Linked DNA regions of Nothobranchius furzeri. The protein of the gene in region 2 interacts with the protein of the main gene of each other region in a biochemical or structural test. Links are inferred from orthologs where the notes say so. Each region holds a gene or a part of one and is shown on either strand. Other genes may lie near its edges.

Region 1 (4,245 bases), on a different chromosome or scaffold from region 2:
ATTACATTAACTGATGGACTTGTAAATATATAGTTTATCAATAAGGTAGAAATAAGTTCCTCACGCTGATAAATAATAACTAATCTCTCTGAGGACACGGTGCTAGAGCACTCTCCTACAGCACCTTGACACGACTAAATACATATTATGTAACATTTTGTGAACATCAATTTATTTGCATTTATTTGTTATAAATGCCACTGTATAATTCTTGCTGTCAGTATATGCAAGATATTGGTATTTGGGTCTGTACTGGTTAGACTTAAATGAGTTAAACCAAGGTCTAGAGCCCTTGGGTCATAAACTATGAGCTGTAAGTATATTGGTCTTTTTATACTGGGAATCAGGAGTTATTTTAGTGATCATCTTGTTTCTTATTTTTGTCCTGATTGTGCCCTGAGCAATTTTATGACTGAATAAAAACAAATAAAATCAACATAAATTGAAAAATTGTCCTAAATAATCGTGATCTCAATTTCAGTCACCATAATCGTGATTATTATTTTTGCCATAATCGAGCAGCCCTAACCACAAAGCCAAATGCAATGATTAGGGCAGGATATTGACCTAGAGGTTTCCTGATGATGCATGAAATGGCCACTTAGAAATGGAGCAAGCTAGCAGAGGGCTGAGCCTGCCAACTCTAGAAACACACTGATTTTAGATTTATATCGATATAAACAATACAGAATCATCTTGTTTCTTGTTTGAAATTGATATTTTTTAAATACTGATTCATCACCTTGCCCTACTCCAATTCAAGGTGAATAATATGCTTCCTGGAGTTCCAAAAGAAGCTTCCTGGAGTTAGTGGGTTTGTATGTTCTAAATTCACCCATCATCTAGCAAACATGGGTGAGAACCTGACAAATAATGCTGGATTATTCAGTTGCTTTCTCACAGTAAACGTTACACAAAAGTACAGATCAGAAGTGTTTAGTAAAAAGCCAACCCTTGTTTTTATACACGGTTTCCCTGCACTAACATCAACTTTTAAAAAAGTTCCTGAAATACATAAACACAACGTCAACATACTAAAACCGCAACTCCAATGATGGCAGGATACCCCAGAAAAGCGCTACGCCCTCTGCTGTTCTGGAGAAGAATTGCTTGACAACACTGACACCAACAGAGAAGTACAAAAGGAAAATGTCTGTCTGAGCGAGCGCAAGTGCAAACTTGCTTACAGAAGTATAAACTAGGCTTTATAGGCCAGGGATAACCAATGCTGTCCCAGAGGTCTGTTTATCCAGCATGTTTTTAGTTGTATCACTGCTTCAACACACCTGATTTTAATCAGTGGGTGACTGACAGGCTTCTGCAGAGCTTCATGAGCTGCTGTAAAGGTGACTCAGCCATTGAATCTGGCATATTGGAGCAGAGAAACAACTAAAACACGCCAGACAGCAGACCTTGAGGCCCAGGATTCGTTATCCCTGATTTAGGCATATACTTAATCAACTCAGGTTGGTATCAGGGACAAAATATTTACAACCAGGACACCCCTATTGAATGGTATTTTTAAAGGCTCAAAAAAATCATACAAAAAATTTGAATAGTTTATTTTAAAAGATATCCAGTAATGGAGCCAAAAAGAGGTCATAACCAGACACTGCTTGGCAAACAAGCTCAAGGGCAGAGCCCACAAGTGCTTTAAGAGGTACCTTTGCTGCCTGTGATGACAGGTACATTGCGTGGACGGGATCTGCAATCAAAGATAATAGGCTTCTGAACCCAGGGGATGAGGAAGTGGGTTCCTTCACCAACGACTGCGTCTTGAACACCCCGGAACCTGTCAAATATGACAGCCTGGTGCCCTGCGTCAACTGCAGACAGAGTCAACTTACTGTAGCGTGCATATTTTCAAACCTTTGTCACAAAATACTTAAATGCAAAATATGATTCTCCCTTCAGATAACAATGCAGATTTTTATCAATAAAAATGTTGTAAAGTTTTATCATTTATTGAATGCAGGGATATCAGCACAAGTGACCACCATTCATCGCCAATGGTGATGCAATCTTATTTCTGCATGATCTAACAACACCATGCAGTAATCACGTTGCTTTTTAAACACTAAACCATCAAATCCTAAACTAAATAACATTCGTGTTAATGTGGAAGTGTTGACTACTCACCATTAAAGAGGGCGGAGTTCACAACACCTCCACCGATAGCGAGGGCAATCCCCAACTTCCCAATGGACTCAAATAACTTGGCCATGACAGCAACCTGCAGACAACGAAAAGCGTTTGAGACCTAAAACACCGACTTCACTCACTCATTGTACAATAAACAACTTAAGCCTAAACAAGGATCCTTGAAAGGCCCACTTTAATCCCTCTTCTCCAGGAACAACCTTGATAAGATTGTCACGGCTGAGTGGTAGCTAGCAACGAGTTAGCTTAGCAGCTAGCCGTGATCTGAGACAAAATAAATTCACATAATTCGTTCAGACTACACCGAGCACCTAATGTGACAGATTACGGAAGGGGAAGTGTTATTTTAAATATGTTAAAGAAATGTATGTGGATAAAACTAACAGCACGCTGCGTGATTAAACGCGTGTTAGCTCTAAAGAACATGATGCAGCCGGATAACTCGCGCTAGACAGATATCACGTTGTCACATTAATAGTTTGGTAGCACAAAGAGGAAAATATAAATGTATACCTCTTACTGTATCAACGCTTCTATACTGTATCAACGCTTCTAAACTAATGTATAACACATGTAACTCACCTCGGTTTCCGCTGTGACCTCCACCGGACACTACAGAGCGCATGAAATCCAATGCGCCTGCGCGCTTGCATGCCGCAACGAGTCATCTGATTGGACGAAACTCTGCCTCGCTGAATGAGAGTTCACAAGCGTTTCAATTTGAGAGAACGTTCAAGGCTGCCATCTACTGGTAGTTCATATGAGTGCTCCCCACTTCAAACTCACAAAATACAGGTGAACTGGATATATTAGAATATTAGAAAGTCCGTTTATTTCAGTTCTTAAACTTAGATGGAGATACAATTTAAATACTCTGGAACCATTTTGCAGGTATATTGAAATAATTAGCTGATTAGAGTGAGACACTTTTAGCCAAGACTATTGAACCTGAGATTTTGAATTTAGGGTTTTCATAAGTTGTAAGCCATAATCACAACAATGATAACAAATAAAGGCTTGAAATATCTTGCTTTGCATTTAATGAGTCTACTTTATACATTCGTTTTTCCTGTTGAGTTAGATTACTGAATTAAATGAACTTGTGCTTGATATCCATTTTTTTAGTTTCACCTGTAAATGACAATGAGATTAAAAAAATAACATTATGCTGGCAAAATCAATTTGCATTTCACCCAAAAACTCTTGCTGTGGGCAAGTCATTTATTTTGGTTTCTAGATTTTAGGAAGGGATTTCACAATACTGTTGGTTTTATACGGGGCCATTGCCGCTTCTTTCATATTGGTAGTTTGGTCCTGGCTTGGGCCAGATCTTTGGTCAGTATGCATTGTTGTTTAAATGTGATCATCAATAATTTGACCAACCTATTAGCTGATGTTGTCGAGCTAAACACAAAGTATTCAATCAAATTTCTTAGTGGTGAAATAAAAAGTTTCCATCCAACTGAAATAGCAATATGGTTATTAACTTCACTTTTAAAAATATTGAACCAGGTAAGTGATTTAAAAGGTTTGAATCTAAAGTTTTGAGCTATGTTCCTCCAACCTCTACACACTTTTCACTAGCTAGATTAAAGGAATATTTCACATAGAAGATTTTAGGAGTTTCTTTGAAAAAATTAAAGATCTGTAGGAAGACTGGAAGTTAAACATTATCTGTAGATTGTGCCTTTATCTAGATAAAAAGCAGAGCAATATGATTTAATTTAATTTAATTTTTAATTTTATTACATTATTCACCGTTTCACACACGTCCATGCCCGCCCCCTGGCGGAATGAAACCGTTACGACATCTGGTTAGTTTCACTTTTCTTCCTCTTCACGTAAAAAGTGACGGTCTTTGAATATTAGCGAGTAAACAGAAGCCAGCGTGAAACTCTGAAGGTCAGTAATGATTACAGTAGAATTAAATCTTCCCTTCACATATAATCGTGTTGGCTTTAGCGCTGCGGCGGACCAGACGTGCCTGATTTATTCACTTCCTTGATTCTCGTCTCAACAATGTGGCTTCTCTTCTCGCTCTCAGATAACATGGAGCTGTAAACCCTCGCCTTGTTCGGGCTTTTT
Region 2 (4,114 bases):
TTTCAGTGTTTTTTCTGCATCAGGGAGAAAATCCACCGTCGTGTCACTTTGAAGGACCGACGGATTTCTCGCTTTTGTCACGTCCGGAAGACAAAACCTTGTTTTCCGTTGCTTTGGATGAATTTTTTCCAAGAGCCACCTGTGACCTTTATGTTTTACAGTAACTGAACTGACTTTCTGCGTTTACAGGAGCGTTTGGGACTAGTCGAGGACTCGCTTTTGGTCTTTTTTCCCACTTTTCTTTGAATGCGTTGCAGATATGATGATGTCACCGACGCCACTTTTTCCTAAAGTTATGGCGGAGCACAACTTTTTGAACTTCTCTTGGTAAGCATGTACGATCTACCGGTCCTAGCACTTCACTACTATTGATACACGCTTGAAAGCCGAACTTTTAGTGTTAAAACCGGTTCTTTTTCAGACACATTAACACAAAATACAGGTTAAACCATTAAAAACCGAGCAGAAGTTCAGTTCGCTGTTTCAGGGAGGGCCTGCTGGCTGCTTCGCTGTTTTTGGTGAAACTGTCGAGCTTTATTTAAAAACACACTCGCTGCTACCCTCAACGTATCATTTTAAAGCACGAGAAAACCCACACGAGTATCCCAAATAGCTGTTTGTCCCTTGTTTGGTTTGAATGCTACACACTAGCAGCATTCATGCTAACCTGCTACATGTCAAAATCACATATGTGGACGTTTGATGAAGCAGCCATGTCGTTGTTGTAAACTGAACTCATGCTTGGGATGAATCAAGCGTTTGCAACAAATCTCCAGCGTTTAGCCTGTCTGCAGCAGATGTGCATTAACACAAGTACAGCAGACATGATAACAACACGAGTGTCTTCAGGGTCAGCAGCCTCCTGTATAAACCTGCAGGGTGGTGGTAAACACGTGAATGTCAAGAATAAACAAAAACCTTTTGGTTGTTTACATTAAGCTCAGTAGTTTGTGATGGAAACAATCCAGGTGAGTGGGTTTATTTGATGGCCTGGCCTTTTGTTTTCAGGAAACACATTTTGCATGAAATAGTCAGTTTAGCTCAGCTCATTGTTTTCTTCTTCTGGTTTATTAGCATATATAGGCCACACGCGACTCTTTTTGCGTGTTATAAACTTCCAGCCGAGACAAAAAGACCCGCAGAAACACACAACTCTGCAGTTTGGATTAGCTCAGTGTTTCTGGCTTTTCTCAGTAATTAATATGTTTTTATGCCACAATCCCCACATGCGATCTCTATTTAAAGGTTGCTGGAGGTGAGATTAAGTTTTGAGATTAAACCTTACAGCGCTCTAACCCAAATCTCATGTTTTGCCACTTTTCCCCCCCTGGTGTTTTAATCAACCGTGTCCAGGCCAGCAGATGCTGTTTCTCATTGTCAGCATAAACATTGTGTCTGTATGCCCCAAAACATGCATTTCTGCAGCTTTTGTGTTCTAGTTAAGAGAGCCAGTAAATGAGGAATGCACCCACAGAGATGGATGAGATCCAATGTGTTCCTTTGTGATCTGCATAGATTGTTGTGAGTATTTAGTTTTACTGATGGAGCACCTTCAAGGAGCGTGGAGAACCCTGAGTAACGGCTTTGGAATGAAGGACTCTGCGTTTGAGGGTCCCTGCCTTTCCCCGACTATGGTCCAGGGCTTTCCCCACCAGCGACGCTCCTCAGATGACAGCAAGGTGCCAGACTCGAAGGCTAGTAGCACAATCCGTGTCTACCTCCCAAACCAGCAACGCACGGTGGTGAGTTAGTTCTGCATTAGGAAACGCGTTTAGAGTTTCCACATTTAACACGGCGACCTCTGAATTCAGATCATAATTATTTGTAATTTCCCGTGTGTCAGGTAAACGTGCGACCAGGTTTGACTTTGTACACGTGTCTGATTAAAGCCCTGAAGGTGCGAGGGCTGCAGCCTCAGTGCTGCGCCGTCTTCAAGCTGCACCCAGGTCAGAGAAGGTGAGTTCAGGGTTTTTGGACAATTGTAACCAGAAGTAAGAAGATCACATGCTTATGTTTCTCCCCCTTTATTTCTACGGTTTGTTTTCCAACCAGTAGAAAATCTCGGATGGACTGGAACACTGACTCCACCTCTCTAATTGGGGAAGAGCTGCTGGTCGAGGTTTTAGATCACGTTCCGCTGACGACCCATAATTTTGTAAGCACCCAAGTCCTCTGCAGCGCCCTCACCTCCGCGTCCAGCGGCTAAATCAACACGTTCAAAATGCTTTCTGTCATTTCCAGGCTCGGAAGACCTATCTTAAGCTAGCCTTCTGCGATATTTGCCAGAAGTTTCTTTTAAATGGTTTCCGCTGTCAAACATGTGGCTACAAATTCCACGAACACTGTAGCACCAAAGTGCCCACGATGTGTGTGGACTGGAGCAACATCAGACAGCTCCTGTAAGTATCTGAGAGGGGTCTCTTATTATAAAAACAACTTTTGATTAAATGGGGGAAAATGGTGACATGGTGAAGCACAACATTTTTAACAAACAAATTACAAAAAAATACACCAATTAAAATAAGCAAGTCAGCACACGCACAGTTCGTTTATCTCCCTCGGGCTTTATAATTTGATTTATATTAGAAATGAGCTCACCCAAACTTTCTGCAAAGATGAACAGTAGAAGGAAGCTCTGCTGATATCCCAGTTTGCATAGGGGTGTGCTCATTTGCATCCTGGCACTGCCAAAAAGGCCGTTTTGTTTCATTTTGCATGCAGGCTGTAGATGAACAGTAATTCTGTAAAGATTAGTGTCATTTGCACACTGCTCTGTTGTAAACACACCCTCCTCAGGACTTTAGTCTCTTGTTTCTGTCGGCAGGTTGTGTCCGGTCCCCGGGGAGAGCGGCACCCCGTCACTGCCGCCGCTCACCTCTCGACGGATGAGAGAGTCTCTGTCACGGTTTCCAAGGTGACGTTGCTTCTCTCTACTTATTCATCACAAACCCTCTGCAGAAGGATAAAACAAGGTTTTATTATGCAGGTGAAACTGGAACAATACTTCAGAATATGGTCCATTTATTTATGTAATCCAGATTAGACTGAGAGGCCATCTAAAGGCTCAGGAAAACCTTTGCAGGTGTTTCAAGTTGAATTACTGACATAAATGAACTTTTGCACTGTTATAAGTTTAATTACCTCCAGATTAACATCAAGCTGTTGTAGACTAGATTACAGATTAGATGTTATTCGGCTCACATGTGGTCAAGTTTGGACTTTTTTAGGATCATATTTTAATTGTGTTGTATGTGTTTAAAAGGCTGTCTTTGCTTCAGGGAAGCTTATCAGTGGAAGGAATGATGTAACGCCGGGTGTGAAAAACAGCCTGTTGTTTTGATGGCTGATAAAGTGGTTTAAAAAAAACACCCAGGGTTGCTAAATTGGCTGTCGCTGCAAGTTGTTCCTTGCAGAAAAATGCGAAATGCTCGACAGGAATATTAATTCCTGTTGTCTAAAGCGGGACTGCTCATGAAGAACACCAAGGCGAGGTTCTGCTCAAAAACACAAACAGCCGGTTCCTCTGCGCCGCTTCTGGACGATTTCTCTGCAGATCCGAGAGCGGCTTTGCGCTGCTGTAGGATTAGCATATCTGGCTGGAAGGTTTTGTGCTCTTTAACCGATCTGGACACAAAGCCGCTCAGCCACACACGGCTAAAGAGGAAGACCAGTAACAAATACGAGCCCACTAGCTACTTCCCTTAAACAATGTAGTTTCACTCTTTGCTGTTTACCACACAGCTAAGGCATGTAATGGCTTCTGGTGCTGAATGTGTGGCAGTAGTCCAACGTAAACAAGGGTGCTTGACTGAGGAGAGTTAATGAGGCCACCTCACCCACACCCACACCCTCACCCGAAGATGTGGCCGACAGAAGCATCCACTGCTGGTTTGGTCGTTTTTAGCTAAAGGCTCGATTGTCATCCTGTCACAGCTCAGCCCACCGAAATTCCACCCCCCACGCCTTCAACTACGCCACATCGTACCAACCCACAGGCGGCGGTCTCTCCCAACGGCAGCGCTCCACCTCCACGCCCAACGTCCACATGGTCAGCACCGCCCTGCCCGTGGACAGCACCACCATCGAGGTAACAAGTTCTGGCTGCAGCTCCTAA

What was found.
Region 1: the proteins of raf1a (region 2) and phb form a complex in vitro, tested with the Homo sapiens proteins (2 studies listed by BioGRID). The link is inferred for Nothobranchius furzeri from reciprocal best matches to the Homo sapiens genes RAF1 and PHB1.

What each region holds. Positions count from the first base shown.
Region 1 is NC_091745.1:13,725,505-13,729,749, forward strand, and holds the start of phb (prohibitin 1), read right to left. Parts: upstream 2,871-4,245; 5' UTR 2,743-2,870; intron 2,234-2,742; 5' UTR 2,225-2,233; coding exon 2,140-2,224; intron 1,827-2,139; coding exon 1,665-1,826; intron 1-1,664.
Region 2 is NC_091755.1:58,343,086-58,347,199, forward strand, and holds the start of raf1a (raf-1 proto-oncogene, serine/threonine kinase a), read left to right. Parts: upstream 1-1,259; 5' UTR 1,260-1,490; coding exon 1,491-1,742; intron 1,743-1,843; coding exon 1,844-1,956; intron 1,957-2,052; coding exon 2,053-2,155; intron 2,156-2,241; coding exon 2,242-2,399; intron 2,400-2,824; coding exon 2,825-2,914; intron 2,915-3,933; coding exon 3,934-4,087; intron 4,088-4,114. UniProt on the Homo sapiens protein: Serine/threonine-protein kinase that acts as a regulatory link between the membrane-associated Ras GTPases and the MAPK/ERK cascade, and this critical regulatory link functions as a switch determining cell fate decisions including proliferation, differentiation, apoptosis, survival and oncogenic transformation.